4 linked regions of the Stegostoma tigrinum genome follow. The protein of the gene in region 4 purifies or fractionates together with the protein of the main gene of each other region. This does not show direct contact. Links are inferred from orthologs where the notes say so. Each region holds a gene or a part of one and is shown on either strand. Other genes may lie near its edges.

Region 1 (7,809 bases), on a different chromosome or scaffold from region 4:
GCCAATAACAAACAATGTAACCACCACCCCTTGACATTGTGAATCCTTCACTATCAACATCTGGGTGGTTACCAGTGACCAGAAACTCAACTGAAGTCACCGCATAAACAGTAGCTACAAGGGGAGGTCAGAAGCTTGGAATTCTAAGGAGGTGAGTTACTTGCCAGACACCTCAAATCATGTCAGGAATGTAATGGAATGCTTTCCTTTTGACTGATGGGCGCAGCTCTGACAACACACAAGCAGTTCACTTGATTGGCACCACATCCACAAACATCAACTCCCTCCACCACTGACAATCATTAGCAGCCATGTGTACTATCTACAAGATGCAGTGCAGAAATTCACTGAAGATCCTCAGACAGTACTTTCCAAACTTACAACCTCTTCCATTTAGAAGGAAATGGGCAGCAGACCCACAGGAACATCAACAGGTTCCCCAAGTCACTCACCATCCTGAGTTGGAAATATATCTTTTGTTGGGTCAAACTCCTGGAATTCTGTCCCAAGGGTGGTGTGGGTCAACGCGCAGCAAGCGACTGCAGCAGTTCAAGGCTACAACTAACCACCTCCTTTACAAGGGAAACTAGGGATGGTCAATAAATCTGGTTAGCCAGTGATGCTCACATCTCACAAATAAATAGAAAAGGATTATGTCCTCTGCAACTTAGAGACCTACTACTCAGTCACCTCCACAACCCTCATGCATAATAAAATACCTACCCTTCTCTAACTCAATTGTAATCTTCAAAACCCCCAAACAATGCTTCCAGGTGAAATATCAATTTACTTGAAATTTCAATTAATTATTCCACTGACAATGTGGATAATTTTTCATACTGAAACCAAATGTAAATCAAGCAGGCCCTTTGCACAACTTTCTACAGTCAGTCCAAAAACATGGCCCTAAGCTTCCAGTCACTGATCATTTTAAATCTACAAATTATTCCCGTTGATTTTTGCCACTGTCAGTCATCTGATGCATTCCAAGACTAGCTCAAGGATCATCATCTTATGCTTTAATTAGGGGCTTTAGATCATAACCTCTGGTCCTGTTCTTTCCCCTTGCAGGTTTGTTTCTAATTTATCTTGGCTCTCTTTTGGATTTTATGATCCTACCAATCACATCGCCCCAAGGCACATTTTGTTTTTATTTACTCCGTTATCAATCCCATTAGTTTTGTTGCAAGATCATTTTTGTCATTTAAAAAGATACAGTGCTGTCATTAATTTTAATGGATAAAGTAATCCAAAAATCAGTTAGTATCCAGCAAAAGTGCATTCAAATCTGAAATACAGAACTAGTTTCAGCACTGGCAATCATAAAAGTATCAATTGCCATTAAAAATCAACATCCTTACCTGGTCTGGCCAACGTGGTTGATTCCTAGCTACTGAAACAGCCCAGCAAGTCACTCAGCTCAAGAGAAATGAGAGATGGGAAATAAATGTTGGCCTCATAGCAATACCCACATCCCATTAAATAGGGTAGGAGGTGGGATAGATTAGGCTATCAGATCTAGCCTTTCATCAATCTCCCCCCACTTCACTTTTAAAAAACCTATCACATTCCCCCTACCTCTGATGAAAGATCATAGATCTGAAATAAATTTACTCTCTGCTACTGCCAAACTTGTTTCTGTGATTATTTTTCATTTCTTAAAAAAGATTATTTTGCAACAAATTAATGATAAGCTAAGCACTAGATTTTCTGAAATGGCCAAAATAGAAGAAACCAGCTTTTACTATGTGTCACCAAAAAGCAAAAACTGTCAACCAAAACGTCAGATAGCATGATAAAAGCAACGCACTGAAGGGATGAACAAGTTTTTGAGTGTCAAACAGTTCCAAAAATAAATTGCAACTTGCTCCATTTTCATTACTTACAATTTGTATTAACACTTAAATGTCTGATATGTACCATACAAATCTGGACTTTCCAATCATACAATGTTCTGGTCAGAATAAAGGGAAACAATACAATACTGCAGCAAGTTAAAGACGTTTTACTACTGAATCTAGTTTGAATTTTTAAACAAAAAACACAAATCTAGAATCCAGCACAAACTGTAACTCGCTCACCCGATAATCTGTTCTACATTAAAGCAATTTTATCTCTAATTCCAAATAAAATATTTGAAGTGTTACTTCGGATTATATCTGCTTTGAAATTAATCGAGTCATGAATTCGCTTGGATGTCTATTATATCTAAAACGAACGAGTACTTTGATTGTTTAAAGGTGACTGTATTTCCCCTCGCGTGGTAGATAGCTTGGGTCCATTTTTCAGCCTCGAACCACACGACGCTCTATTTGCGACCATGCTGGAGAACCAGGCCCTAATGGAGTCATTCAATTGCGCCTCAGAAACAAAAATACCGTTTGAAACATTCGGTGCAAAAGCCAGAAGAGCTCCAAAAAACAACAGGGAGGAACCGGATTAAGATTCGAACCACGGAGTTAAGATTTGTGTTAAGAGTCGGTCAGGCACTTTGCTGGGCTTCGGCTCCACTGGCTGCCGCATTAGAACCGATCCCTCAAGGAAAATAAAATTGCCCGGGTTTCGTCCAGAACTAAAATGAGACATGTTGCTCCCTAGCTACACTCAAGGTGCAATGAATTAAATTAGACGAACAGATGAGCTGGAGAGACAAAAACCAAACCCACAGTACGGCTCCCTTGCCTCCCTCCCCTCCATCAAAAGCCTGCCACCCGCCGCCATTTTCATTCCCGCTCGGTTGCTAAGGCCGAATCCGCAGTTACGTGTATTCAGGGAAAAGACCCGAGTTTTATGCATTTAAAACAACCAGAACAGGTCCGCCGGTCCTTTGAATTGTTCCGGCCACCACTACAATGGATGAGCTTTCCAATCGGGCTCGACAAACAAGCTCTACTCGGTTGCTGCTCTACTTACGCGGAAAAACCCCGCGTCCATCTTGTCTGTCTGTGGAGGGGCTGCCGGATCACCCACTTCCGGTTTACCCGTTCGTTCTTCAAGGAGCTTCCGGTACACGGGTACAGCCGAGGCCGCACAGGCCGCATGGCGGAAATAGCCGAGCGCTCGCAGCCCCTGTTGCGGAAACAGCCGAAGCCTCGCAGCCCGGGAGACGGAACCAGACGTTGATTTGCTGTTCTGTCTGAGCACTCACTCACAAATACTGTAGCAACAGAACAACAAGTTAAATTCAAACACGTGCTGCCTGAGTGGCTTGAATCTCATAAAATTTCCATTTAATAATATGATCCACTTCAGTCTTGTGTCACGCATTTATACGTCTTTGAGCAGTCTTGATAACAAATTTCACTCTGGAGCATATGCATTTTTTTTCAAATCTTTGCAATGACTCGTCTTACAAGAGACTTAACCCGTGTAGTCTAAACGATACACGGGGCCGCAACATCTCTAACCGAACCTGACCAACTAATTCCACTTTATGGATAACCACTCCCCAATCCCCAAACATCTTTCTTTTACTCCTTGGCTTTGGTCTGCAACTGGTGAGGCAAATGAGCCAAAATTAGACTTCTTCCAAAATGGATGACCATTATGAGGAGACACAGCGGCTGCCATCAGCTTTTCACATGAAGATGAATGAGGCCCAAACCTTAACTTTAGGGTGGACTTGAACGTCATAGTACAGGCCACATGTTGCTGGTACATTGCCATCCTCATAAATAAGTCCTTTTGCAGAAATACATTTGTAACCTTGGTGTAGAGGGTGGGCTGACAATATCATGTGATCACTACTTCCACTGAAAGTGTCCTTACACACAATCTGTGGCAGTCATTTGAATCAGCATCATTTGAAATATAGAGCTGAATCTTAAATTTGTTTGGCTAAATATGAGTTTTATGTGTTCTTAGAGAGCTTTTCATCACAAAGATAGTGGGTATCTTACCAAACTCAACTCATTGACCACCATCATCCCCTCCAGCCCCCAACACGGTGAAAAAAATTGTGCTCAATTTCACTTCCATCATGCCACATGTTGTTTCAGCCACCCATGGGATGTCCTGAAATTAACCAAAATCCCTTGCACCTACTCCATCTTCGAAAGTCCATTGTGCACCCAGACAGGCACCTAGAGCTGGTGTGCACAGTTCCTGATATTCGTCCCTGGCATAACAGACAAGCGGAAACCAGTGATAATGGGAACTGCAGATGCTGGAGAATCCAAGATAACAAAGTGTGAAGCTGGATGAACACAGCAGGCCAAGCAGCATCTCAGGAGCACAAAAGCTGATGTTTCGGGCCTAGAGTCTGCTAGACTTGCTCTGATGAAGGGTCTAGGCCTGAAACATCAGATTTTGTGCTCCTGAGATGCTGCTTGACCTGCTGTGTTCATCCAGCTTCACAATTTGTTATAGGGGAAACCGGTCCCTCACTTTGCAAGCAAAGACTTGGGAGATTGCATTGGAAAGAGAGATGTAAAGCTGGTATTTCCACTTCTCCAGGAGAGGACAGCATGGTCCCAGAACAAGCAGCCTGGTCCAATATTGCCGCCCAGTTAAAATTGCCGCCCGGTTAAAGCAGTATCAGCTGTCTGCGGGAATGTATAGTCAATGTCCTTCTCCTGCCTGCCAGAGTCAGTGCAACCATCTTCTTTCCAAATCTCACACTCGCTCAGTCCCAGCTATTGTACCCACCTCCCACAAAGGCCTGCAACATCTTCCCTCACTCGCTATCATCCCACTAAACCCCAGCATCTCTATGCCTGCATGCCCTCGGTGCTGTCTACTCCCTCGACCAGGACATCTCCCCACAAGTAAAAAATGTAAGTGTGCCACCCAGCTTCATCTGCCTTAGTACCTGCCTCTCTCTCATTCCAGGAGAAAAACAGTCTACAATGGAAAAGAAATGGTCAAGACTGGTGGTGGACTGGCCAGCAGTCAGGTGCTTACCCCCAATGAGGAAAGGATGCTGACTTTGCTCCAGGTGGCTGACCGTGCTATGTCCTTGGACTGGTGTTGGAGATTTTCCTTGATTTACTATTTTGGTAGCCTCTGACTGAAGGCTGTCACCCTTCACTTGATTGAGGGCTGCTGACAACCATGACAAACTTCCTGCAAGATTGAAGCAACATGAGTGTGTGTAATTGAGGTTGTTGAGGTTGGATGGCTCGCCCAGCTGGTTTCTTGTTTTGCAGATGTTTCATTACTGTGCTGGTTAACATCTTCAGTGCAGCCTCCAATTAAGCGTCGGTGTGTTTCCCCACCTAGTTTTTAAACTCTGGGGTCCGTTGCGATGGATTACCTCACTTCTGGTTTTTCCTTCGTAGTGGAATGGAAATGGGGTTGAGTTCAATGTGTTTATTAATAGCAGGCTTTTGGAGTGCCATACTTCTAGGAATTCTTGTGCTTGTCTCTGCCTAACCTGCCCCAGGATCTGGGTACAGCACCTGGTATTCCCAGGTGCTCTCCCATTCAAGTACTAACCAGGCCTGGGTCTGCCTGGCTTCCGAGATCAGACAAGATTGGGTGTTTTCATACTAGTATGGCTGTCGGTCATAGGGTTCTACAAGGATGAGTACTGGGACTGCAACTGTTCATAATAAATATTAACGACTTGGAGGAAGTAAGTGAATGTTCTGCAGCCAAGTTTGCAGACAACACGGAAATAGGTAGAAAGACAGATTCCAGAAAGGATACAAACAGTTTACAGAGAAATATTGATGGTTAAGAAAGTGGGCAAAAATTCTTTGGAATTTTTTTACAGAGAGCTGTATGGCAGAGTTCTGTGTATATTTCAGATTGAGGTTGATAGATTCTTGATCACCAAGGGAATCAAGGATCATGGAAAAAGGACAAAATTGGATGTGAGGCATATTGGATCAGCATGATCCGATTGCATGGCAGACCAGGCTCAAGGAGTCAAATGGCCTATCCCTGTTCCTATTTCTGATGGTTTTATGGTTTTTTTAAAAATAACTCACATGAATTGGGCATCGCTGGCTGGCCAGTTTTCTTGCCCATTCCTACTTGCCCTTGAGAAGGTGGTGGTGATCTGCCTTCTTGAACCGCTGTAGTCCACATGCTGCAGGTTGACCCACAATGCCATTAGGGAGGAGATTACAGAACTTTGACACATGAACACTAAATGAACACCAAGATATTTCCAAGTCAGGACGGAGAGTGTCTTGGAGGGGAACATGCATTAAGTGGTGCTACCCTTGTTCATCTAGATCAAAATTATAGTAGGTGTGGAAGGTGCTGACTAACAATCTTTGGTGAATAATCTGCTGTGCATCTTGTAAGCAGTACACACTGTTGCTGCTGAACATGGGTGGTGGAGGGAGTGGAAGCTTGTTGAAATGGTGCCAATCAAGCAGCTGCTTTGCCCTGGATGTTGTCAAGCTTCTTGAGTGTTGTTAGAGCTGCACTCATCCAGGTAAGTGGTGAGTATTCCATCACACTCCTGACTTGTGCCTTGTTGATGGTGGACAGGCTTTTATGTGGCAATTCCCAGTTGAGTTTCTGGTTAATTGTAACCCCTTCAAAGTTGATAATGGGGGATTCAGTGATGGTAACATCACTGGATGTCAAAAGCTGGTCATATCACATCCCAGCCTGATCATGGATGAAGCTTGTAGTAGGCTCCTCCACTCTCACAGGGGCTTGTCTTTTTATCTTGTCACCATTAATTACTCTACTGGGATTTATATTGACTGAAATTAACAACTAATATTAAGATTATACAATACCTGAAAGCATTCTTTAGTTGTTACAGCATTCCAGATATTGTGATACGTGGCAATGGCCCTCAATTTCCAAGGGGAGACTTCAGGCACTTCACAAAGGATAGGTCAATTTAACACCATACAACATCACTACGCCGTTCCCACTCAAATGGAAAGGCCAGGTAGCAGTGAAAATCGCCAAAGGAATATAGGTGGCACGGTGGCTCAGTAGTTAGCACTGCAGCCTCACAGCACCAGGGACCAGGGTTCGATCCCAGTCCAGGGCGACTGTCTGTGTAGAGTTTGCATGTTCTCCCCGTGATTGCATGGGTTTCCTCAGGTGCTCCAGTTTCATCCCACAGTCCAAAGATGTGCAGGCTAGGTTGATTGGCCATGCTAAATTGCCCATAGTGTTCAGGGGTGTGTGGGTTTTAGGGTTTGGGTGTGGGTGGGATGCTTCAAGGGTCAGTGTGGACTTGTTGGGCCGAAGGGCCTGTTTCCACACTCTAGCGAATCAAATCTAAAACTGAAGAAATTGAGAAATCCAGCACAGACTTGCACAAGGTAATCTTTGAATGGACAATGTGCTTAGAGGAGGCATGGAAAGTAGTCCAGCACAAAGACTAATATCACGTCGCACCAAATTCCTCTTACAATTGTGAAAATCTTTTGAAAGCAGAAGTTGAGACAGGCGTGAGTGAAAAATGACAGTGAAATGGCAGAGTGTCAAATTTCATCTTGATGAACTGCGGAGTCTTTACAATGCAGAGCTGGTTATTGCATTGAGGAACCTATGCACAACAGATCACTTAATTCTGAACAAGTGAACATGAACAACCAGACGAATCATCTTAAGCCATTGCTGCAGTCCACATGCTGCAGATTGACCCACAATGCCAATTGGATCATTAGTTCACTTGTTATCATCATGTGATTTCTAAAAGACTGCTAATTATGTCAGTTAATTATGGTGTTCTAAAAGACTGTAATACAACTGTCAAATTAAATGAAGTTAAAGGCCATCTTGTTGGATATGAGAATGTTAGTTTTATAGAAGAGGAAACATGCCGCATTAGGTTTTTGAGCGTTCTAAGCAATGCTTGACAATTTTGACCTTGCTTTAATTTGAAAC
Region 2 (6,892 bases), on a different chromosome or scaffold from region 4:
ATTATAAAAGTGGGGTGAGGAGGTTGAACTTTGTACAGGCACTGGTAGGACCAGATCTAGAAGTTTTGGCGTCCTTATTTAAGGAACGATGTAACCACATTAATAGCACAGCAGAAGTAGTCCAGCTGGTTGATTCTGGGATAAAGGAAGAGTCTTATGGTGAAAGATTGGCACGTACACATTGAACCTTAAGAATTAGAGCTGATCTCATTGAAAAAGAAACTGGAAATATTTTGCTTGAGTTATAGAGTGTTTGTGAGGCCACACTTGAAGTACTGTACACAGTTCGGATTTAAGAAAGGATGTACACGTTCAGCGAAGGTTCATTTGACAGCTGAATGGCGATTGGGGATTAACTGTTTCTCATGAGAAAAGGTTGAGGCTTTACCTACTGGACACGAGAACAAATTACTGAAATGTACGAGATCCTGAGGGGACCTGATAGGGTGGACATTAAAAGGATATTTTATTTTTTAGGAGAGACTAGAACTAGGAACACAGTTTAAAACTAAAAAGGGTCTCATTTAAGACGTAGGAGGATTTTTTTTTAAAACGAGGGTTGCCTGCCTTTAGAATTATTTCAGAGAGCAGAGGATACAGGATGACTGACCACTTTTAGGGCCAAGATAGACAGATTCTTAATTAGGGAGTTAATTGTCATAAAGGTGGTGTGGATGTGGAGTTGAGCTCATGATCAAATTATTCAATGGCAAATGAAAAATTATTCAATGTTATAGGCATTAAAAGGCACAATCCTGCTCTTAATTCACGTGTATATGTACGTCCGATGAAAACATAAAAAATTTGAGGTAATGGTTCCTCTTGTTGTAGAGACTTGAATTAGGGGATATAGTTTAAAATACAATGTTGCCTACTTAAGAATGAGAATTTTCATTTTTCTTGGTAGGCCATTACTCCGTGCAATTCTCTTCCACAGAGAACAGTGGAAGCTGGATCATTGACAACATTCAAAATCAAGTTAAATACAATTTGATCGACAAAGGAATCAAGGGTTATATGGTAAACAAGAAAGTGGAAATGAAATTATCATCTGATGAACCATTGCCTTATTGAACATCAGAGCAGGTTTAAGGAGGCGAATGGCCTAGTCCTAAAACACCTCCCAGAATCAACTCTTATATTGGCTTATGTCAGGTAAGGAAACAACTGGATACAGCGACATTCACCACTTCTGGATTATAACATTAAATCCCACATATGGGGGACAGGTCAAATTGCTCAACATTACCTTGCAAACTTTAATAAGTTCATTAACGTTTGTTCAGGACTTGAGGGCATCTTGAAAAATATAGTGAAACAAATTCACCCAACATCTTTCAGACATCATCTGGGCTCAGGGTTTCGGTATCTGAAACTAATCCTCATTTAAGCTGCAATATGTTCCATTTTTTAACTGCTTGGTGGCTTCACAGCTTGCAGCTCCTTGTTGCAAAGTGCAGCCACAAGGAAATATAGGATAGGACGAGGTGTTGCTTTATCACACTGTTGAATATTGTGTTATTTTCTTTAAGAAGACAAACTACCCATCTGACATTTTTGCATAAATCAGGGTTTTCAACAAGAGGTTGGTTCTGGGATAGCAGGACTGACGTATGAGGACAGATTAACTAGGTTAGGATTGTTTGCCGTGGAGTTCAGGCAAAGTTGGGGGGGGGGTGGTGTCTCATAGAGACATAAAATCACAACAACACTAGACAAGAGTTGATGCAGGGAGGATGTTCCCAATGGTGACTGTGTACAGAACCAGGGATCACAGTCTGAGGATTCATGGTAGGCCATTTAGGGCAGAGATGAGGAGACATTTTTTCACACAGAGTGATGATCCTGTGGGATTCATTACCACAGGAAGTAATTGATGCCAGAACATTGAATGTATTCAAAAGGTAGCTAGATAGAACAAACAAAAACAGAAGAGATAGTGGGGACTGTCGACGCTGGAGAGTCTGAGGTAACAAGGTGTAGAGCTAGATGAATACAGCAGGTCAAGCAGCATCAGAGGAGCAGAAAAGCTGACGTTTCGGATCTAGACCCTTCTACAGAAAACTGAAACGTCAGCTTTCCTGCTCCTCTGATGCAAAGTGGCCTGCTGTATTCATCCAGCTCTACACCTTGTTATCTCAAACAAAATCAGAAATTGCTGGAAAAGCTCAGCAGGTCTGGTAGGATCTGTGAAGAAAAAAAATCAGAGTTAATGTTTTGAGTCCGGTGGAACTCAGAATGGTCATCGGACCCGAAACGTGAACTCTCATTTTTTTCCTTCACAGATGCTGCCAGATCTGCTAAGCTTTTCCAGCAACTCCAAGATAGAAAGAACTGCCAATGCTGGAGTCAGAGATAACACTGTGTGGAGGTGATGTTTCCTGCTTTGCTGCTCCACTGATGCTGCCGGGCCTGCTGTGTTCCTCCAGCTCCACAGTTATCTTTCCCAGCATCTCATCAGTTTTTCTTCCTCATTTACAGCATCCGCAGTTCTCTGGGTTTTTATTTGGCTAGATATAGCACTTGGGGCGAATTGGATCAAAGTTTATGGGGAGAAAGCAGGATTAGGCTATTGCGTTGGACGATCATCCACGATCGTGAAGGATGGCAAAGCAGGCTCGAAGGGCCTCCTTCTGCTCCTATGTTTATATAAAATTTAAATGGTAGCAGAATTGAACTAGTATATATAAGAAACAAAACAGACTCTAAGGTACCGTTTCAGGGCCTGTGTGAACAGTTACGGCGATCAGCCTCAATCCTTAAATTAGGCACCTTGGTGCGTCGCGGTTGGCGTGTTTACTTACAGGCAGCACCACGGAGGAAAAGCAGAAGATGCAGAATTAAACTCACCCTCTGCCCAAACCCGGCACGTAACCGAGAGGCGCAGGCATGCCCAGAAACGGCTTCTTTTTCTTGTTAAGGGTCCCGGTGAGGGTTGGACCCCCCGAGCTCACCCCACTCGGTGCAGCAGCTGTACCAGTGCCAGGAGCAACCGAAGATGCTGCTACCGCCGCCGCCATCTTGCAAGCAGGAATTAGTCCCATAAGCCTTTACGGCAGGAGCGCGGCAGGAGCACGTGATCATCTTATTAACATATCGGGACTCCTCGTTTACGTCTTATTTACATACCTGAGCAGCTCTCTGACATTGGACCTGGAAGACAGCAGCAAATGCAGCTACCAGATTATTGCAGTGACCAACTCCTTGAAATATTGGCCTCCAAACTGAGTTTTCCCAACTCAAACCAATCACCATGAAGCAACTAGGATAGCTTCTCACCAGAGGAAAAGCAATAAATTTAAAAACTGAAGAGTGAAACTCAGAGAAGTACTGATTGCATGTAGAAACCATGTCTGAAGTCTTTCAGCTGAAGGGAGGTAATTCAGTTGTCAGACTCTCAAAAAGATGTGAATACCAGTTTTGTGTAACAGAGGTTGTTTAGGGATAGAGTCAAAGTTTAATGTTTTGTTTGGAGATAACAAGAACTGTAGATGCTGGAGTCAGACGCAACACAAAGTTAAAACTGAAATGAGATGACATTTCTTCAGCCAGAGTGGTGGGCTTGTGAAATTCATTGTCACGGAGTGCAGTGGAGGCTGGGATGCTGGATGCCTTCAAGGCAGAGATCGACAAATTCTTGATCTCAGAAGGAATCAAGGGCTATGGGGAGAGTGCAGGGAAGTGGAGTTGAAATGCCCATCAGCCATGATTTAAATGGTGGGGTGGACTTGGTGGGCCGAATGGCCTTACTTCCACTCCTATGTCTTATGGTCTAATTTGGAGCTGGAGGAACACTGCAGGCCAGGCAGCATCAGAGGAACAGGAAAGTTGACATTTAGGGTCAGGACCCTTCTTCAGAAAGTATTTTGTTTGATTAGATTAGATTGCTTGCTTGATATGCAACTGTGCAGAACCAAACTACTTTTATGAATATTTTTGAAATAAAAACAAGATAGCATACAACAGTAAGTTTCTGTCAGGCAGCAAGTCAGAATCCACGGGGAAGGTGTCATCACCCTCATCTCAAAGTCGAAGGGAGGATGGGTAGAAATTAGATATTGGTAACCAGTCATGTCAGGATGACTCTGGGATCAGTGATTCACCCGGACAAAACTTGTGCTATACTGGGCAGGACAATTTCTGACAGCCTCATGCTCCTCAGGCATATGATCACCTACAAGCAGAACAGGGGTCCTGCCTCATCAGCCCGGACCAGGAAAAGGACTTTGACACGATGCGGGATGTTCTCTCTAAATGGGCTTTGGGAAGAAAATCCGAATTGGATCTAATGGCTCTACACCAACATCAATACTGCAGACTCAAACAATCGGTGGGAATCAGAAAGTTTTCCAATCAGATCTAGAGTCAGTCAAGGCTGCTTGTTCTCTCCTGCCTTGTTTCTGTGTTGTAGAGAGCCTTTTGCCGTGTCCAGTGGTTAGTACTGCTGTTTCACAGCACCAGGGACCAGGGTTTAGTTCCACCCTTCGGCGACCGAATGGAGTTTGCATATTCTCCCTGTGTCTGCATAGGTTTCCTCTGGGTGCTCTGGTTTCCAACCACAGTCCAAAGATGTGCAGGTTAGGTCGATTGGCTATGCTAAATTGCCCATAGTGTCTAAGTAGAGTAGCCATGGGAAATTCATGGTTACAGGGATAGCATAGCTGGGTGAGTCATAGAGACAAAGAGCTGTACAGCATGGAAATAGACCCTTCAGTCCAACTTATCTATGCTGACCAGATGTCCTAAATTAATCTAGTCCCATTTGCTGGCATATCCTTCTAAACCCTTACTATTCGTATGGCCATCTAGATGCCTTTTAAATGCTGTAATTGTACCTGCCCCCACCACTTCTTCTTGCAGCTTGTTCCACATGTGCATCACCCTCTGTGAGAAAGTTGCCCCTTAGGTACTTTTTAAATCTTTCTGCTCTCACTTTAAACCTATGCCGCCTAGTTTTGGACCCCCATCCCAGGGAAAAGACCTTGCCTATTCACCCAATCCATGCTACAAATGATTTTTAAAACTCTATTAGGTCACTCCTCAGCCTCCAACGCTCCAGGGAAAATAGTCTCAATCTATTCAGCAAATCTCAATAGTTCAAACACTCCAACCTGTGCAACATCCTAAGGAATCTTTACTGAACCTGTTCAAGTTTCACAGCATCCTTCCTATAACAGGAGGAACAGAACTGAATGCAGTATTCCAAAAGTGGCCTAAGCAATGTCCTGTATAGCTGCAGCATGTCCACCCAGCTCCTATATTCAATGCATTGACTAATAAAGACAAGCATACCAGATGCCTTCTTCATTATCTTGTCTACCTGTTACTTTACTTTCAAGGAACAATGAACCTGCACTCTAAGGTCTCTTTGTTCAACAACTCTCCCCAGGGCCTCATTATTAAGCCTTGCCCTGATTTGCCTTTCCAAAATGCAACTTTTATCTCAATTAAACTCAATCTGCCACTCCTTGGCCTGTTGGCTCATCTTATCAAGGCTCTTTGTACTCTGGCATAATCTTCTTCGCTGTTGGCTACACTAAATTTTGATGTCATCTGCAAACTTACAAACCATACTTTCTATGTCCACATCCAAATCATTTATATAATCAACATAAAGTGATGGAAACATCACTGATCCTTGTGGCACACAGCTGGTCACAGGTGTCCAATCTGAAAAGCAACCCTCCACCACCACTCTCTGTCTCCTACCTTCAAGGTGCTTTTGTATCCAAAAGGCTAGTTGTCCCTGTATTCAATGTGATCTAACCTTTCCAACCAGCCTACCATGAGGAACCTTGTCAAACACCTACTGAAGTCCGCTCTGCGTTCATCAATCCTCTTTGTTACTTCTTCAAAAAACTCAGTCAAGTTCATGAGACATGATTTCCCAAACACAAAGCCATTTGACTATCCCTAATCAGTCCTTGCCTTTCCAAGTCCATGGAAATCCTGTCCTCATAATCCCTTCCAATGACTTGCCCACCGTTGATGTCAGTATCACCACTTTATAGTTCCCTGGCTCTTCCTTATCACCTTCTTTAAATGGTGGCACCATGTTAGCCAACCTCCAGTCTTCTGGCACCTCACCTGTGGCTATTGATGGTACAAATATCTCAGCTTAGGCCCAGCAAACACTTACCTAGCTTTCCACAGAGGTTTTGAGTATGCTTGATCAGGTCCCAGGGATTTATCTACCTTTTTACATTTTAAGACATCCAGCACTTTCTCCTCAGTAACATGGACATTTTTCAAGATATCACGTTTTATTTCCCCAAGTTCCCTACCTTTTTTGTCATGTCCTTCACCACAGTAAACCCTGATGCAAAACACACTGTTTCTTCAATTGCTACTGTTCAGAACCAAATTGCTTCAGTGACTATAAATGTGTATAAAGGTATTTTCTGAATATTATATTTGAAACAAAAAAATGTAAAGTCAAATGTGGATCCATTCAGTTATGGGTCCTCCTGGTGCATCAAACGTATATAAATTGTATTTGCAAAAGTAAGAAATGCCTTTGGCCTTTTTGAAACTGTCAGGAGAGTCAAACCTCCAATGTTTGTTTGTTCTCAATATGCTGAGATTATACAGAATCGAACTGCTCCAGGAACTACATATGTATAAAAAGATTTTTATGAATAAAGTATATTTTTGAAAGACAAAAGAAGATATGTAAAGACTGTACAGAACTACTTTAGGCCTCTATTTAACTTTGGCAGAAAGGTCTTAGATGGTGGTCTTTCCCCACTGTGCCTTGGCAGCAGCTGCTCTAAGCTTCAGTGCATGCCTCAGCATGTAATCCTGACCGTTGTAACATACCAGTCTATAACACACAGTTGGAGTCAACTCCTTGCTCTGGAAAACCAGCAAGTTTCAGGCAGACCAAAGAGCG
Region 3 (7,906 bases), on a different chromosome or scaffold from region 4:
CAGACTAGATAAAGATGGCAGTTTCCTTCCCTAAAGGACATTAGTGAACCAGATGGGCTTTTCTGACAATTGACAATGGATTCATGGTCATCGTTAGACTCTCAATTCCAGATTTTCTGTTTTATTGAATTCAAACTTCTCTATCCACCTTGGTCTCTGGATTAAAAGCCCAGCAATAATACCACTGGGCCATCACCTCCCCTATTCTGCTCCTAGTTCTTCTGATGTTATTGAATTGTCAAGCAAGCCTCAGGGACAGCATGACCTACTTCTGCTTATACTTTTTATGTTCCTGCATATCACTGTGGTTCAGTTAGTTGTTCTCTCGTTTCTGAGTCACAGCAGTATGGGTTCAAGTCCCACTTTAAGATATCCAGAGATAACAGAGAACCAAGTTAACGGTCCAGTGCAACAATAAGGGAATGCTGCACTGTTGGGGATGTATGCATAGCAAATCATGCAGTTTAAAAGTCATTCATCATATATGAAGCGCTGCTGATTGTTTCTCAGAGATATCAGAATGAGCTCAAGAAATTTGCATCTTTCTGATGAGTCATACAATTTTATTTTATTCCACCGAATGTTTTGACAAATGGTTTCCAAACAGTTGCAAATGCATATCTCATTGGAAGTTCTATTTTGGATATGGTTCACAAAGCAGACCAGAAGAACGCTATGTGGAAATCACATGATGCTCCGATTGGAATGCATTTTGAGCGTTCTGTCAAATTTTAATCATTGAGTCACAGAAGGAAGACTGATATTTCCTGACAGAGGACTGAATTATAAGAAAGAAAGTCAGACTTGCATTGCTGTAGGGAAATGCCAAAGTGGTCTCCAGCTAATTCAGCGTTTTCAAACTGTATACCTTGGATAATGGCTATCTTGATTAAGTCATTTCTTAACAAAAAGCAAAGAACTGCAGATGTTGGAAACCTGAGGTAAAAACAGAAGTAGCTGGAGAAACTCAGAAGGTCTGGCAATATCTGTGAAGAGAAAGCAGAATCAATGTTTTGTGTCCGGTGACTCTGCCAGAGTCATAGGGACGTATAGCATGGAAACAGATGCTTTGGTCCAACTCATCCATGCCCCCAAGATACCCTAGATAAATCTAGTCCCATTTGCCAGCACTTGGGCCATATCCCTTCAAACCCTACTTATTCATATACACATCCAGATGCCTTTTAAATGTTGTAATTACACCAGCTTCCTCCGCTTCCACTGGCAGCTCAGTCAATATATGCACCACCCTATGTGTGAAAAAGTTGCCCCTCGGCTCCCTTTTAAATCTTTCCCCTCTCACATTAAACCTGTGCCCTCTAGATTTCAACTCCACCACCCTGGGGAAGAGACCTTGTCTATTTACCCAATTCACGCCCCTCACGATACTATAAACCTCGATAACATCACCCCTCAGCCACCAACACTCCAGAGAAAATAGCCCTTGCCTATTCTGCCTCTCATTCTGTTGAAATTTTGACTCTGCTTCCTCTCCACTGATGTTGCCAGACTGTTTAGTTTCATTAGCAATTTTTGTTTTTGTTTCAGATCATTTCTTGCTGTGTATCATACAACGAAATGCTCTAATATTGAAAAGTGACCAGTCTACCTGTGGAAAGATAAGGTGTTAAAATGTTTGAGCAATGGGAGAAACTGGCTCTTTCATTTGCAGTCATAAAGCCAAAAGCTTTAGTTTGAGCTATAGGGAGAGGCTGAATAGACTGAACCTATTTCCCCTGGAGTGTCGGAGGCTGACGGGTGACTTTATAGGGGTTTATAAGTATATGAATGACATAGATAGGGTAAATACACAAAGTCTTTGTTGGGGAGTCCAAAGCCAGAGGGGATAGATTTAAAAGGGACTTAAGGGGCAACTTTTTCACACAAAGGTGTTATGTGTATGGAAAGAGCTATCAGAAGAAGTCGTGGAGGCTGGCACAATTACAACAATTAAAAGGTGTCTGGATGGGTATATGAATAGAAAGGGTTTAGAGGGATATGGACCAAATGCTGGAAAATGGGACTAGATTAATTTAGGATATCTAGTCAACACGGATGAGTTGGACTGAAGTGTTTGTTTTTGTGCTGTACATCTCTATGACTCTATTAGAACACATTCTGCCTATCATGCAAATCAGTAATTTGGTATAGGATTTCAGGGCCAGATGGATGCCAGTATGTAGGTGATACATCCATGGACTGGCAGATCATATCATGCAGGGTATCTCTTTAGTTGTTCCCAACAAGTAAGATACTGGCTGCACACTTAATCAACACGTAATTGCACAAATAATAACATTAGATGTGATCCTGCAAGAGGACACCATTTGGTGGATAACCCTTAATGTCACAAATAATGCTGACAAGCAATTTAGATTTGTCAGTCAGGCTCACAATATGGTGCACTGGCATATATTGGCAGCTGCATATATTAATCCACAGGCCCTGTTCTTTGTAGACAGAAAATAATATGTACATGTACTGTCCCTGTTTCCACACTACAAATAGCTCATAGCTATTTGCTGCTTCATTTCTCAGGACAATGCCCTGACTAATCAGAGTCAACCTGCTTGGTTTAAAATATAAATAAAGGCTGCTGTTAACTGTCAAACATCATTAGAGGGTGTATTCCATGTGGCAACTCTCTACCAATCTGAGTTCACATGCCAACCAATCAGCACTCTCCTCTCATGCAGTACAAATAATGGCTTTCACCTTGAATTGGTAATCTTGCGAAGCATCCTGATAAATACAAGATGAAAAGCTTTGACAAAATGTGACTTCCTCAGCTCCACAGGAGAAATATTGACAAGGACACAGGTGACTTTCCTGTTCTTCTTTGAATAGCATCACACCATCTTTTATGTCTATCTAACAATGTGGATGAAGACTGCACTTAACCTGAAGCAGAGGGTTGCAGCAGTCCAGCACACACTCAGGACTGTACTAAAGTACCACATAAGGTTATGTGCCCAAGCCTGTGCAACTGGCTGGGGGATGGAAGGGTGGGAGGGTGCCGTGAATAGACAACTTTCTGAATGATTGAAAGGTTTCATGTCTATTCAGAAATCAGTAGTAGGAGAGGCTAGGACTCAGGGCACAGCCTAAGGGTGAAGGGACAACCTTTTAGAACTGAGATGAAGATGAATTTCTTCAGCCAGAGGATGGTAACTGAAATAACTCCCAGAAGCTGGTAGCCCATTACCAAGTCACCCTTTATTTACATCCGAACAGTCCTTAATAGTGCATAGAGCTGGATGAACAAAGCAGGCCAAGCAGATTTTCTGAAGAAGGGCCTAGGTCTGAAACGTCAACCTTCCTGCTCGTCTGATGCTGCTTGGCCTGCTGTGTTCATCCAGCTCTTCACTTTGTTATCTCAGATTCTGCAGTTCCTACTATCTCTGAAACAGCCCTTAATAGTATTGCCTCATCCAGAGTCAGGCACAAGTGTCAGTATCCCTGACACCCAACATTTTTGTGTCAGCCAGGGCTCCCTGATCGGACTAGATTAACAGCCCCAATCATGGAACTAATATTCCATGATGTCCAGGATAATAAAATGTGAGGCTGGATGAACACAGCAGGCCAAGCAGCATCTCAGGAGCACAAAAGCTGACGTTTCGGGCCTAGACCCTTCATCAGAGAGGGGGATGGGGGGAGGGAACTGGAATAAATAGGGAGAGAGGGGGAGGCGGACCGAAGATGGAGAGTAAAGAAGATAGGTGGAGAGAGTGTAGGTGGGGAGGTAGGGAGGGGATAGGTCAGTCCAGGGAAGACGGACAGGTCAAGGAGGTGGGATGAGGTTAGTAGGTAGCGGGGGGTGCGGCTTGGGGTGGGAGGAAGGGATGGGTGAGAGGAAGAACCGGTTAGGGAGGCAGAGACCGGTTGGACTGGTTTTGGGATGCAGTGGGTGGGGGGGAAGAGCTGGGCTGGTTGTGTGGTGCAGTGGGGGGAGGGGACGAACTGGGCTGGTTGAGGGATGCAGTAGGGGAAGGGGAGATTTTGAAACTGGTGAAGTCCACATTGATACCATATGGCTGCAGGGTTCCCAGGCGGAATATGAGTTGCTGTTCCTGCAACCTTCGGGTGGCATCATTGTGGCAGTGCAGGAGGCCCATGATGGACATGTCATCAAGAGAATGGGAGGGGGAGTGGAAATGGTTTGCGACTGGGAGGTGCAGTTGTTTTTTGCGAACTGAGCGGAGGTGTTCTGCAAAGCGGTCCCCAAGCCTCCGCTTGGTTTCCCCAATGTAGAGGAAGCCGCACCGGGTACAGTGGATGCAGTATACCACATTGGTAGATAATTCCATGATCTCCAGCTGGTTTAGCTCATTACAATCGCTACAGTGACTCTTTAGAACTCATTGCCACTGAGGGCTGTTGTAGTGATTAGAACCAGGGCCAGGTGGATCCCATTGACTATGAGATCCTTTGGTTGAGGTTGTTAACCTGAGTTAATCAGGGAGTCCTGGCTGACGGATATTAACAGGAGATTCAGAGGGTCTACTCAGTCTACAGACTAGCTTTGAGTTGACTAGTTACAACCCATGTATTGTGCACATGTAAATAAAGGGTGACTTAGTGATAAGATACCAATCTCTGTGTAGTTATTTCAGCTGTAGAGGCCAAGTCAGTGAGTGTATTAAGCTAGAGATAGGTAGATCCTTGACTACTAAGGTGATCAAGGGATACGAGCAGAAGGCAGGAGAATGAGGTCAAGAAACATCAGCCATGATCAAATGTCAGAGCAAACCCGATGGGCTGAATGGGCTAATTCTGCTCCCATATCTTACTGTCGTCCGGTACTGGTAGGTGGCAGTGTCTTCCACTGTGTGGAAGAACAGTTGTGTTCATTGGGTTGTAGACACGTCTTATAGCAGCAGGGGGAGCAGCCTTATTGCTTGGAGAAAGAAGGCGAGAGAGACACCGAGACAGACAAACAAGAGACATTCATAGGGTTTTTAGTTCTCACTCGTCCACTCATGAGGAGGTACCATGACATTTTGGTCTCACGTTTGCAATGTGCCGTCAAGCCTAGGAATTTAAAGGCTAACAATTAACAAATACCAGAAGCAAGGGGAGGTGCAAAAGGAAAATATTAAGGTCCTTTTTCTTCTTGCATTTGGTTTTTTGAGGGGGGGGATTAATTTTGTTTTACAAAAATGGCAGCCAACTGTACTGCTAGTGCCAGCAAGACAAAAACCAAGAAGAAACACTTTGTGGCTCAAAAAGTGAAGCTCTTCAGGGCCAGTGAGCCCCTACTCAGTGTCCTGATGTGGGGAGTCAACCACACCGTGAGTAAGATCAAATCTGTCTTAATTATTGGAATGATTATAATTTATTTATTCATGCATCTTAAAGAGGATAATGTACTTTGATACGGGGAGCTGGAACTTGAGAGAGTGATGGTTTAAGATGCGCAAACGTTTAATATTCTTTTTCTTTTAGACCTTAATTTAAGATTGTGCATTTTGCAAGAGAAAACAAGCTTTTAAAAATGATTTTCAGTTTAATTTTTAAGGATCAATCTAGCCTTTTTGGAGGGAGGGTTTGGAGCTGGAGGCCTATTACATTTACAGGAGATCTTTTAGGAGGGAACCTCATCTAATAATGAATGACAAGTAAATATATTGTTGCTGAACAATGTTTTAATGACTTAGATTGTTTTCATTAATAAAAATGGAAAGCAGAAATGCATTTTTTTCGTCTTGTTTAAGATCCAGTTTAGGGCGGAGGGAGGAGTTGGGTTTCAATAAAGAAGCAAAATTAATAATTTTACTTCGATCAGTTTTTTTTAAAGCAGGGTTTATTTATTGGAATATTTAGAGCTACTTTTAGGCTTAATTATTTCGGGCTCGTGTACATTTTTTTCCCCTCGGGTCCAAAGAGGGGTGGTTTTATTTAGTTTCCATTTTAAAATTATAAATAATAATTATTAATATTTAAATCTCTCATTGTCAGTGGTGGATTGCTTTCTCTCTAGATTTTCGTCTTTTTTGTTTTTCGTCTCATTTGACTTGATTTCTGACTAAGTTTATTACAAACCAGTGGAAAGGAAAAATCGTCGTCTATTATTAATAAAACTGACTTTATCGGAGTCGTCTCATTTTTTAAAAAAATTGTCCTCCCCTCTTTGGGTGCAATCTCCGGATTCCAGCAACTGTCCCTTCAGGTCGAGCTCTCTACTCAGGCAAATCCGAGGCTTCTGCGGCCTAGCTCGACCGAGCTTGAGGTTTTATCTATCACAATAATTGTTTAAGAATGCTCATGGGCATCAAAATCTCCCTTCCAAACAAATCCACGAGTTTAAGGAGGCAGGGCAATGATTTAAGCGAGTATTTAGTTATTTTGGGGGCCGCATGTGTTAGTTTTGCACAATTGTGGGTTATGGTTTATAATTTGTTTTGTGTTTTGGGTCCAGTAATTCCCGTAATTTGATGATTTCACTTTGGGATTACAGCATTTAGTGTAATGTTACGTTTTCAAACAAGCTTATGACTGAGTGTATGTATGTATGTGTGTGGAGAAGCTCATGTTTAGCGTCCTGATACCGTCTGGTTTATAAAGAGGCAATAAAAGTTCCTGAAGCTACAAATGTCCATCTTGATGCCAAAGTGGTGAACCCAATTTTTTTTTTATAAAACGTCAATGAATTTTTGCTAGGTAAGGATATTGAGGGTTATGAGCCAATACAAGTATGTGGAGACTGTGTTATCTCAGTAGATAATGGAACTGTTTTGAGGGACAGAATGGCCTCCTCCAGTTCCAGTGATGCTGATGCAGAGCATCTGAGGATCCTTCATTGTGGGGTGGTGGAGCATTGCCAGTAGTACATTTGGAGTTAGAAGGCAGAACTTGTGGTTTCCATTTGGATAGCTCAGGAGCTACCTTATAAATGCTAGCCCTTGTTTAAGTGGATTCACCCAGTAATATGTGGTGGATGGTTTGGATTTGAAGAATTGATTTTGTTTTGAATAAAAAGTCTGACTGTGGTGTAGTGGTTTAGCTAGTGATTTTACAATCTACCTATTCCTTCTGGAAAGTTCTTGGTTCACCTGTTCCCCATGTTGGCTGGGAAATGCAGTAGAACGCCACAGTTACATACTCACTGTGATCCTTCCTTCTCCCTGGCTGGCTTTTCTCTCACCAAATGCAGTGACTGGACTGAGACTGCAATCAGCCCCAGTACAGATGGAGAACTGAACCTGGGTCTTTCTTTATCTGTTTTATTTTGCCCATTGAACCACCAGAAGAACCTGTGTTTGTGACTTTATTTTAATATTGTTTCGAAATCAGTTCTGCATCTGTATCTGTATAAATGTTTCCACTTCTGAGGGGTTGTAAAACGACAGGACATAATATAAGAATGTTACTAACAAGTGTCTTCTAAGTAACTAATCATTTTTTTAAATGCATAAGTTAGTTAGAATGTGAATCTCTCTCCTAATGAAGATGAGACAAATAACTGATATAAGAGACAGAATTGAAGTGTGTTGGATAAAGTAGAGACAGTAGATAGACGTCAGTTGGCAAAATGTCCCATCTCTATGCTCTAAATTCCATGTAATTCTGTAAGGAAAGAAATATGAATACGTCAGTGCTACTTCTGTAAATTAAGTTTGTATCCTAAAGTCTACTTCTTTTAATATGGATTTCAGGGGAGTGGTAATGTTGTAATCCATAGTAATCAAGTCAACAGATCGTTGTCTGAGTGAAGTATCCTCAGGAATTAATTAAACAATACTTGAGCATTTCAGGCACGGGAGAGAATGGCCTGTTTATGTTGCTTGCAGAATTTCACCCTGCAATTGTGAGTGCCTATGCCACATGGATTGCAGTGGTTCAAGAATCTTGAAGAGATCTAGGGATGGGCAATTACTGCTGGCCTTAGGCATGACACTCACAT
Region 4 (7,091 bases):
TATTTTTCATGCTGCCTTGCTTTTTATGAATTTGTTCATTATCTTAAATCATTCGCTTCTAATTCGCACATACACTATTAACAGGTAAGTTTCTAAATGCTCTGTCCTGTGTCTACTCTTTCCCTTCCTGATTTTGAGCATTGCTACTGAATGTCTTCTCAATTTTCTCTCATGAAAATAGCCCCAATCTATCTTCTCCAATGTAACTTCTCCATGTAACTGAAGGTCCTCATTCCTGGAACTATGTTTATGGACCTTTCAAAACTCTCTCTATTGCCATCAAATGGTTCCTAAAATGTATTGCCCAGAATACACAATATTCAAATTGAGGGCAAATCAGAGTTTTATGACAGTTCATCAAAACTTCCCTATGTACTCTATACAGTCCAAGATCCTGTATACCTTTTCAAATTACTTTTTCAACCTGCCCTGCCACCCTCAATGACTTATAGATATATACGCAGTTCTGTTTCTGCTCCCCCTTACATTATACCCTTTATTTTCTGTGGCCTCTCCTCATTCTTCTTACTAAGATACTTTCCACTTGCCTGCAATAAATTTCATATTCCACATGTCTGTTCACTCCAATGTCCAATTTTGTGATATCTATAAATTTTGAAATTATGCTCTGTGCCCCCAACTATTCTAGTTATTAATACAGTCAAGAAAAGCAATGGTCCTAACAATGACTCTCCTAGAGAACCCACTGTGTAAGCTCCAATTCCACGATCATCTCACTAAGCCAACTTTGCACCCAAGCTGCTGCTGTTAACTATACTCCATGGCCTTCAACTCTGCTGACATGCCTATTTTGTAACACTTTACCAAACATATTAAAGTCAATGCATGCCATAGCAAATGCAATATTCTCTAACTATCCATCACCTCATCAAAATAATTTAAACATGATATGCCTTTAACATATCTCTGTTGATTTTAATTAATTAACTTTTTCAAGTTACTCAGTTTTTCAAAGATTATTATTTTTAAAAAGCTTCCCCAACACTGAGGTTAAAATGACTGGCCTGCAATTGCTGAGTTCATGCTTACAAGATTTTTCTACAAGAGTCAAACACTGGCATTTCTCCAGTGCCATGCCATCACCTCTGAAAGCAGTTTAGAAGATTATGACCTGCACTTCCACAAATTTTGGCCTGACTTCCCCCAGTATACTTGGATACATCTCCTCCAGTCTTGGTGACTTAGCAACTTTAAAGACCGCCAGGTTTTGTCAATTTTTGGCCCATTCATCATCTCACCCACCTCCATTTAGAAATATAAAAATACACAAAAATAGGAGCAAAGATAGGCCATTCAGCCCTTTGAGCCTGCTTTGCCATTCGTTATGACAAGATGGCTGATGACTTTCACAGAATTTTCTTCAGTAACGACCAGTGCAAAGTACTTACATAGCACCTCATGTCGATACATAAATCTCTCTTTTGGTCTCAAAATGGGAATAGTCTTGTTTTATCATCCTTTCACTATTTAAATAGTTTTGGGTGGTCTTTAACGATAGCTGCCAGTCTCTTCCCATTCCTTCTGTTTCCTTTTTCATTTCCCCTCTGACCTTTCCAAAGCAGCTGATTCTCACTTGTATTATCAACATGACATTTGTCACACATCTCTTCTACTGTTTTATATTCCTGCCTTCATCATTGTCAGGCTTTAATATGCCAACAAGCTTGTTGGCTGGTCTCCCAATTTATCCTTCACAAACTTTTTATCATCCAAAACTATGCTGCTCATTTCTTAACTGGCAGCAAGTCACTCCTGTGTTCATTGAAATTCAGTTGCTCCCAGTCAAGCAACATCTTAATTTTAACTTTTAAACATTTTGGGAAAGTGTCTAGTGATGATCATGATCCATCATCAGTTGTCAGACAAACCCATCTGGTTCACTAATGTCCTTGAGGGAAGGAAACTGACATCCTTATCTTGTCAGGCAGATGTGGTTGACTTCACTGCCCTCTGGGCAATTAGGGATGGGCAGTAAATGCTGGCCTAGCCAGCAACACACTCATCCTGTGATGAATTTTAAAAACCCTCATTTTCAAATCCTTCCAAGTCATTAGCCCTTCCACCTTTGTAATCTCTTTGACCAAGATTTTGATCATTTTACTTAATATTTCCTTACATAACTCTATGGTCATATTTAGTTTTAGAATACTCCTATGAGGCACTTTCAGACCTCATTATGGTAAAGATACTACACCAAGTAGACATCAATCTTTTCTCTATTTGATTAGACAGTATTTTGTTTATCCTATTATTCCATCAGAGGAATCTACTTCCAACAACTGTACCTCAAGTACATTATCTTCAACAGCTGCCCAGAGTTTAATCACAGTATATGATTCTAATTTATCCAGAACTGGCCCACCTCATTAAGTTTTTTTTATTTTGGTTTGTTCTTTGTCCTTTTCCATCGTTAATCTAATATTTACAATGTTACATTCACTAATTCCTTAAATAATCTCCTACTGACAGGACCCAACTTGTTCAAGGTGAGGTATTGGGAGTATTCATGGGTGTGTGGAAGGTGTCCCAGTAACCACCTCAGTAAGAGGGGAAAGACAGGAAACAGCTTGAGTATGGCAGGTAGGCTTGTTAGCGGGACAACCCCGGGGTCAGGTGTCAACAACAGGCCCAGGGATATAGCAGAATTTCCCGGTCAACCCCCTCCCCACTAATCAATAAGATTCGCTCCACTAGGCCTCGGGCTCCGTTCTACACCGAGATTCCAACTGTACAAAGGGCTATTCATCCTTATAAAGCCGTCACAGTGCAGTGAACACAGTCCACCCCGAACGCGAGAAGCCAACTGTCGCTGCAGTCAGGCGGCCCCTGGCCCCGATGGACATGGATTCCCGTCCACTCACATTCCGCTCTCGATCCGCTCTCGCTCGCCGCTGCCTGGGCCGCAAAACCGTCCCGCTCAACCCGCGTCACCCGTCGCACGCTGCGTCATGACACAAACATTTGCGATACTGGTGAGCACCACCGGGGGGAGTGAGAGAGCACGCTGCACTGTCGTTGGGTCGGGATATGCGCTGAACCCGGCGTAGGAGGGCACTCAGAGATAATGGAAACTGCAGATGCTGGAGAATCCAAGACAATAAAATGTGAGGCTGGATGAACACAGCAGGCCAAGCAGCATCTCAGGAGCACAAAAGCTGACGTTTCGGGCCTAGACCCTTCATCAGAGAGGGGGATGGGGTGAGGGTTCTGCAATAAATAGGGAGAGAGGGGGAGGCGGACCCAAGATGGAGAGAAAAGAAGATAGGTGGAGAGGAGAGTATAGGTGGGGAGGTAGGGAGGGGATAGGTCAGTCCAGGGAAGACGGACAGGTCAAGGAGGTGGGATGAGGTTAGTAGGTAGAAGATGGGGGTGCAGCTTGGGGTGGGAGGAAGGGATGGGTGAGAGGAAGAACAGGTTAGGGAGGCAGAGACAGGTTGGACTGGTTTTGGGATGCAGTGGGTGGAGGGGAAGAGCTGGGCTGGTTGTGTGGTGCAGTGGGGGGAGGGGACGAACTGGGCTGGTTTAGGGATGCGGTGGGGGAAGGGGAGATTTTGAAGCAGGTGAAGTCCACATTGATACCATTGGGCTGCAGGGTTCCCAGGCGGAATATGAGTTGCTGTTCCTGCAACTTTCGGGTGGCATCATTGTGGCAGTGCAGGAGGCCCATGATGGACATGTCATCAAGAGAATGGGAGGGGGAGTGGAAATGGTTTGCGACTGGGAGGTGCAGTTGTTTGTTGCGAACTGAGCGGAGGTGTTCTGCAAAGCGGTCTCCAAGCCTCCGCTTGGTTTCCCCAATGTAGAGGAAGCCACACCGGGTACAGTGGATGCAGTATACCACATTGGCAGATGTGCAGGTGAACCTCTGCTTAATGTGGAATGTCATCTTGGGGCCTGGGATAGGGATGAGGGAGGAGGTGTGGGGGCAAGTGTAGCATTTCCTGCGGTTGCAGGGGAAGGTGCCGGGTGTGGTGGGGTTGGAGGTCAGGGTGGAGCGAACAAGGGAGTCACGGAGAGAGTGGTCTCTCCGGAAAGCAGACAGGGGTGGGGATGGAAAAATGTAGGAGGGCACGCTCCTGATTGTCTTCCAAAAATGTTGTGAAATCCATCCCAGAGGGCAAACGAGGGTCTCAATTTAATCTTTTTTTAAAGAAAACGGAAGACCTGCAGTTGGTGTAAATCAGAAACTTGCAAAGATTTGTAGCTCGGGCTGGGAGCTTGCCCAGTGTATGTACACGTTTTGTCACCGTGCTAGGTAACATATCAGTTCCTTCAATCAAGCGGTGTTGTTCTACTCCATTTGGTATCTCACACAAGATCATCATTGAATCCCTACAGTGTGGAAGCTGGCCATTCAGCCCAACAAATCCATACCACCCCTCCAAAGAGCATTCCCACCCAGACCCATTCCCCGATCCCTGCATTTTTCATATCTAACCCACGTAACCTAAACATGCCAGGGCATGATAAGGAATGTAACATGGCCAATACACCTCCCCTGCACATCTTTGGACAGTGGGAGGAAACCGGAGCACCTGGAGGAAACCCACACAGACACAGGGAGAATGTACAAACTCCACAAACTCAGTCACCCAAGGCTGGAATCAAACCCAGGTCCCTGGTGTTCAGAGGCAGCAGTGCTAACCACTGAGCCACTGTACCATCCAGTCTATTAAGTTGGGTTGTGTTATTTCTGGCTCTGTTCTGCGTGGGTTTGTATATGGGGTCTAATTCCACATGTTTGTTAATTGCTTTAAGGGTAAAATACTTGGTCCCTCGGAATTCCCGTGCATGTCTGCGGTTGGCTTGAACCAGGATGGTCACCTCACTCCATCCACTCAACCCTTTACCTCAAGAACATTAAAATCAATGATGACGGGATTATGGTATCCTTTGATGTCACAGCACTATTCATGTCCATTGACGTACCACATTACTGGATACAGCAGGAACACTGAACTTCAAACAGCTCCTTCAGCAAGGACAACATACTCAGACCGCTGGACCTATGCGTCACCACACACTTGATCTTTAATGGCCAAATATACAAACAAATCAATTGTAAACCTGTGGGGTCGCCCATCTCAGGACTTATTGCAGGGGCAGTCAATACAAGGTCTGGAACACACTAACCCCCACTCCTGCCGCCTGACAGTCAAAACTGTGGACCAGATACATGGACGACACGTTTGTCATCATTAAACGCACCAAGTTAGAAGCGACACACGATCTCATTAACAACATTTTCACTGGGATCAAATTTACAGGAGAAGAGGAAGACAACAATCAATTTCCATTTCTCGACATGAGGGTAGAACAAGTGACCAATGGGGAGTTCCAAACCACAGTATACAGGAAGGCAGCCCACACTGACCAAATCCTCAATTTCCACAGCAATCACCCCAAACAAATCTAGGACACTATTCAAATGGGCCACGAACCAATGCAACATGCCAGAACTACGCAGGAAGTAGGAACAGCGCCTATACAAGGTCTTTTGCTAACAACAGATATTCCAACAACTTCACCCACAGGTGCCCACTAGATTGGCAGTGCCAAGAGGACACAATACACCCCAATACACTGGCCACACTACTCTATATCAAGAAGATGTAAGAACTGCTGAGACTCCTATGACCACTAGGAATCACGGTAGCAATCACTTGACCCAAAACATTAACTGTGATTTCTTGTGATCAATTTAACTGGGACAACATGGCCATCCTAGCTCAAGCCAACCACAGGCATGCACAGGAATTCCTAGAGGCCTGTTTTTCAACCCGTAATGCAATTAACAAACTTATGGAATTAGACCCCATATACAAGTCCATGCAGAACAAAACCGGAAATGACACAACCCACCTCAACAGACCAAATTATATAAATACCCAGCAGGGTAGAACAACATCGCTTCATCGCAGGCCACATTGTTGATGTTACCTAGCATGGTCACGAAATGTCTGTATCATAGCCAACCAGCTCCGCAAGCAAGTCACCAACCTCAAAAACAAAAATTGCTGGAAAAGCTCAGCAGGTCTGGCAGCAGCTGTTGAACAGAAATCGGAGTTCTTAGGAAGGGTCACTTGACCCAAAACATTAACTGTGATTTCTCTCCACAGGTGCTGCCAGACCTCCAGAGCTTTTCCAGCAATTTCTGTTTTTGTTTTTGGGTATCAATTTAAAGTTTCCCCTGAAAATATCACTTCCAACAGTATAGCACCACCTTCAGGACTGCACAGAGTGTCAATCCAAATTATGTGCCCGAGACATTGGGCTTGAACACTTATGGTATTACAGAAATGGCATATTTGTTGTGAAAAATACAAGCAAGCCTTTGAATTGGGGGATTTTTGGAAACCATCAAATGACGATCAAAACGCAATGAGAAAATATTTGGCTTGTAAAAGTCTCAAGGAAGCAAATTCATTCTCAAGAGGAATGACGGATTGAATAAATATTTTGTCTAACTTACCTTCAGAACACTCAAATTATACCTCAAAGCTAGAGATTAACCAAGGAGCTAATAAGAATCAGACATTTTGAATAATTCATGTTTGCAGCAGAAATTATTAAAGAAATTTGAGGAATTAAAACTTGACAAATCTCCAGAACCTGATGGCTTACATTTGTGGGGAGCTAGGGTGGCTGCAGAGATAGCAGATGCCCTAGTTTTGATTTTAAAGTCCTGTAGATTCCACAAGGTCTCAGTGGTTTGAGTTAACAGATTAGTAAATGTAACACTGCTATTCAAGAAAGGAGGGAAGAGAAAATAAGAATTACAAGCCCAACATAAATTGTCATGAATATGGTAGAATTTATTGTTGAGGACATCTTAACAATGCACTTTGATATACTTTGATTCCCCAAACTGTATTCAATAAGGTGCATCACAAATGATCATTTAAATGCTAAGGATTAATGGAGTTGGCATGAATACATTACCATGAATAGAAAATTTGCTAATAGACAGAAAACAAATATAGAAATAAACAGCTGTAACCACAGGAATGGCACAAGGAACAGATAAGGGTTTCAACTATTTATAATCTATATTGATCATAGAAAGAGAG

Evidence for each region.
Region 1: the proteins of rnps1 (region 4) and srrm1 purify together in Homo sapiens (co-immunoprecipitation; 4 studies listed by BioGRID and IntAct, with this or other methods). This does not show direct contact. The link is inferred for Stegostoma tigrinum from reciprocal best matches to the Homo sapiens genes RNPS1 and SRRM1.
Region 2: the proteins of rnps1 (region 4) and prpf6 purify together in Homo sapiens (co-immunoprecipitation; 3 studies listed by BioGRID and IntAct, with this or other methods). This does not show direct contact. The link is inferred for Stegostoma tigrinum from reciprocal best matches to the Homo sapiens genes RNPS1 and PRPF6.
Region 3: the proteins of rnps1 (region 4) and phosphatidylinositol 5-phosphate 4-kinase type-2 beta purify together in Homo sapiens (co-immunoprecipitation; 3 studies listed by BioGRID and IntAct, with this or other methods). This does not show direct contact. The link is inferred for Stegostoma tigrinum from reciprocal best matches to the Homo sapiens genes RNPS1 and PIP4K2B.

The regions. Positions count from the first base shown.
Region 1 is NC_081377.1:23,968,257-23,976,065, reverse strand, and holds the start of srrm1 (serine/arginine repetitive matrix protein 1), read right to left. Parts: upstream 3,002-7,809; 5' UTR 2,935-3,001; coding exon 2,914-2,934; intron 1-2,913. UniProt on the Homo sapiens protein: Part of pre- and post-splicing multiprotein mRNP complexes. As a component of the minor spliceosome, involved in the splicing of U12-type introns in pre-mRNAs. Involved in numerous pre-mRNA processing events.
Region 2 is NC_081372.1:31,363,134-31,370,025, reverse strand, and holds the start of prpf6 (pre-mRNA-processing factor 6), read right to left. Parts: upstream 3,021-6,892; coding exon 2,851-3,020; intron 1-2,850. UniProt on the Homo sapiens protein: Involved in pre-mRNA splicing as component of the U4/U6-U5 tri-snRNP complex, one of the building blocks of the spliceosome.
Region 3 is NC_081384.1:7,308,568-7,316,473, reverse strand, and holds the start of phosphatidylinositol 5-phosphate 4-kinase type-2 beta, read left to right. Parts: upstream 1-4,896; 5' UTR 4,897-5,162; coding exon 5,163-5,294; intron 5,295-7,906. UniProt on the Homo sapiens protein: Participates in the biosynthesis of phosphatidylinositol 4,5-bisphosphate. Preferentially utilizes GTP, rather than ATP, for PI(5)P phosphorylation and its activity reflects changes in direct proportion to the physiological GTP concentration.
Region 4 is NC_081376.1:32,312,538-32,319,628, forward strand, and holds the start of rnps1 (RNA-binding protein with serine-rich domain 1), read right to left. Parts: upstream 3,018-7,091; 5' UTR 2,885-3,017; coding exon 2,883-2,884; intron 1-2,882. UniProt on the Homo sapiens protein: Part of pre- and post-splicing multiprotein mRNP complexes. Auxiliary component of the splicing-dependent multiprotein exon junction complex (EJC) deposited at splice junction on mRNAs.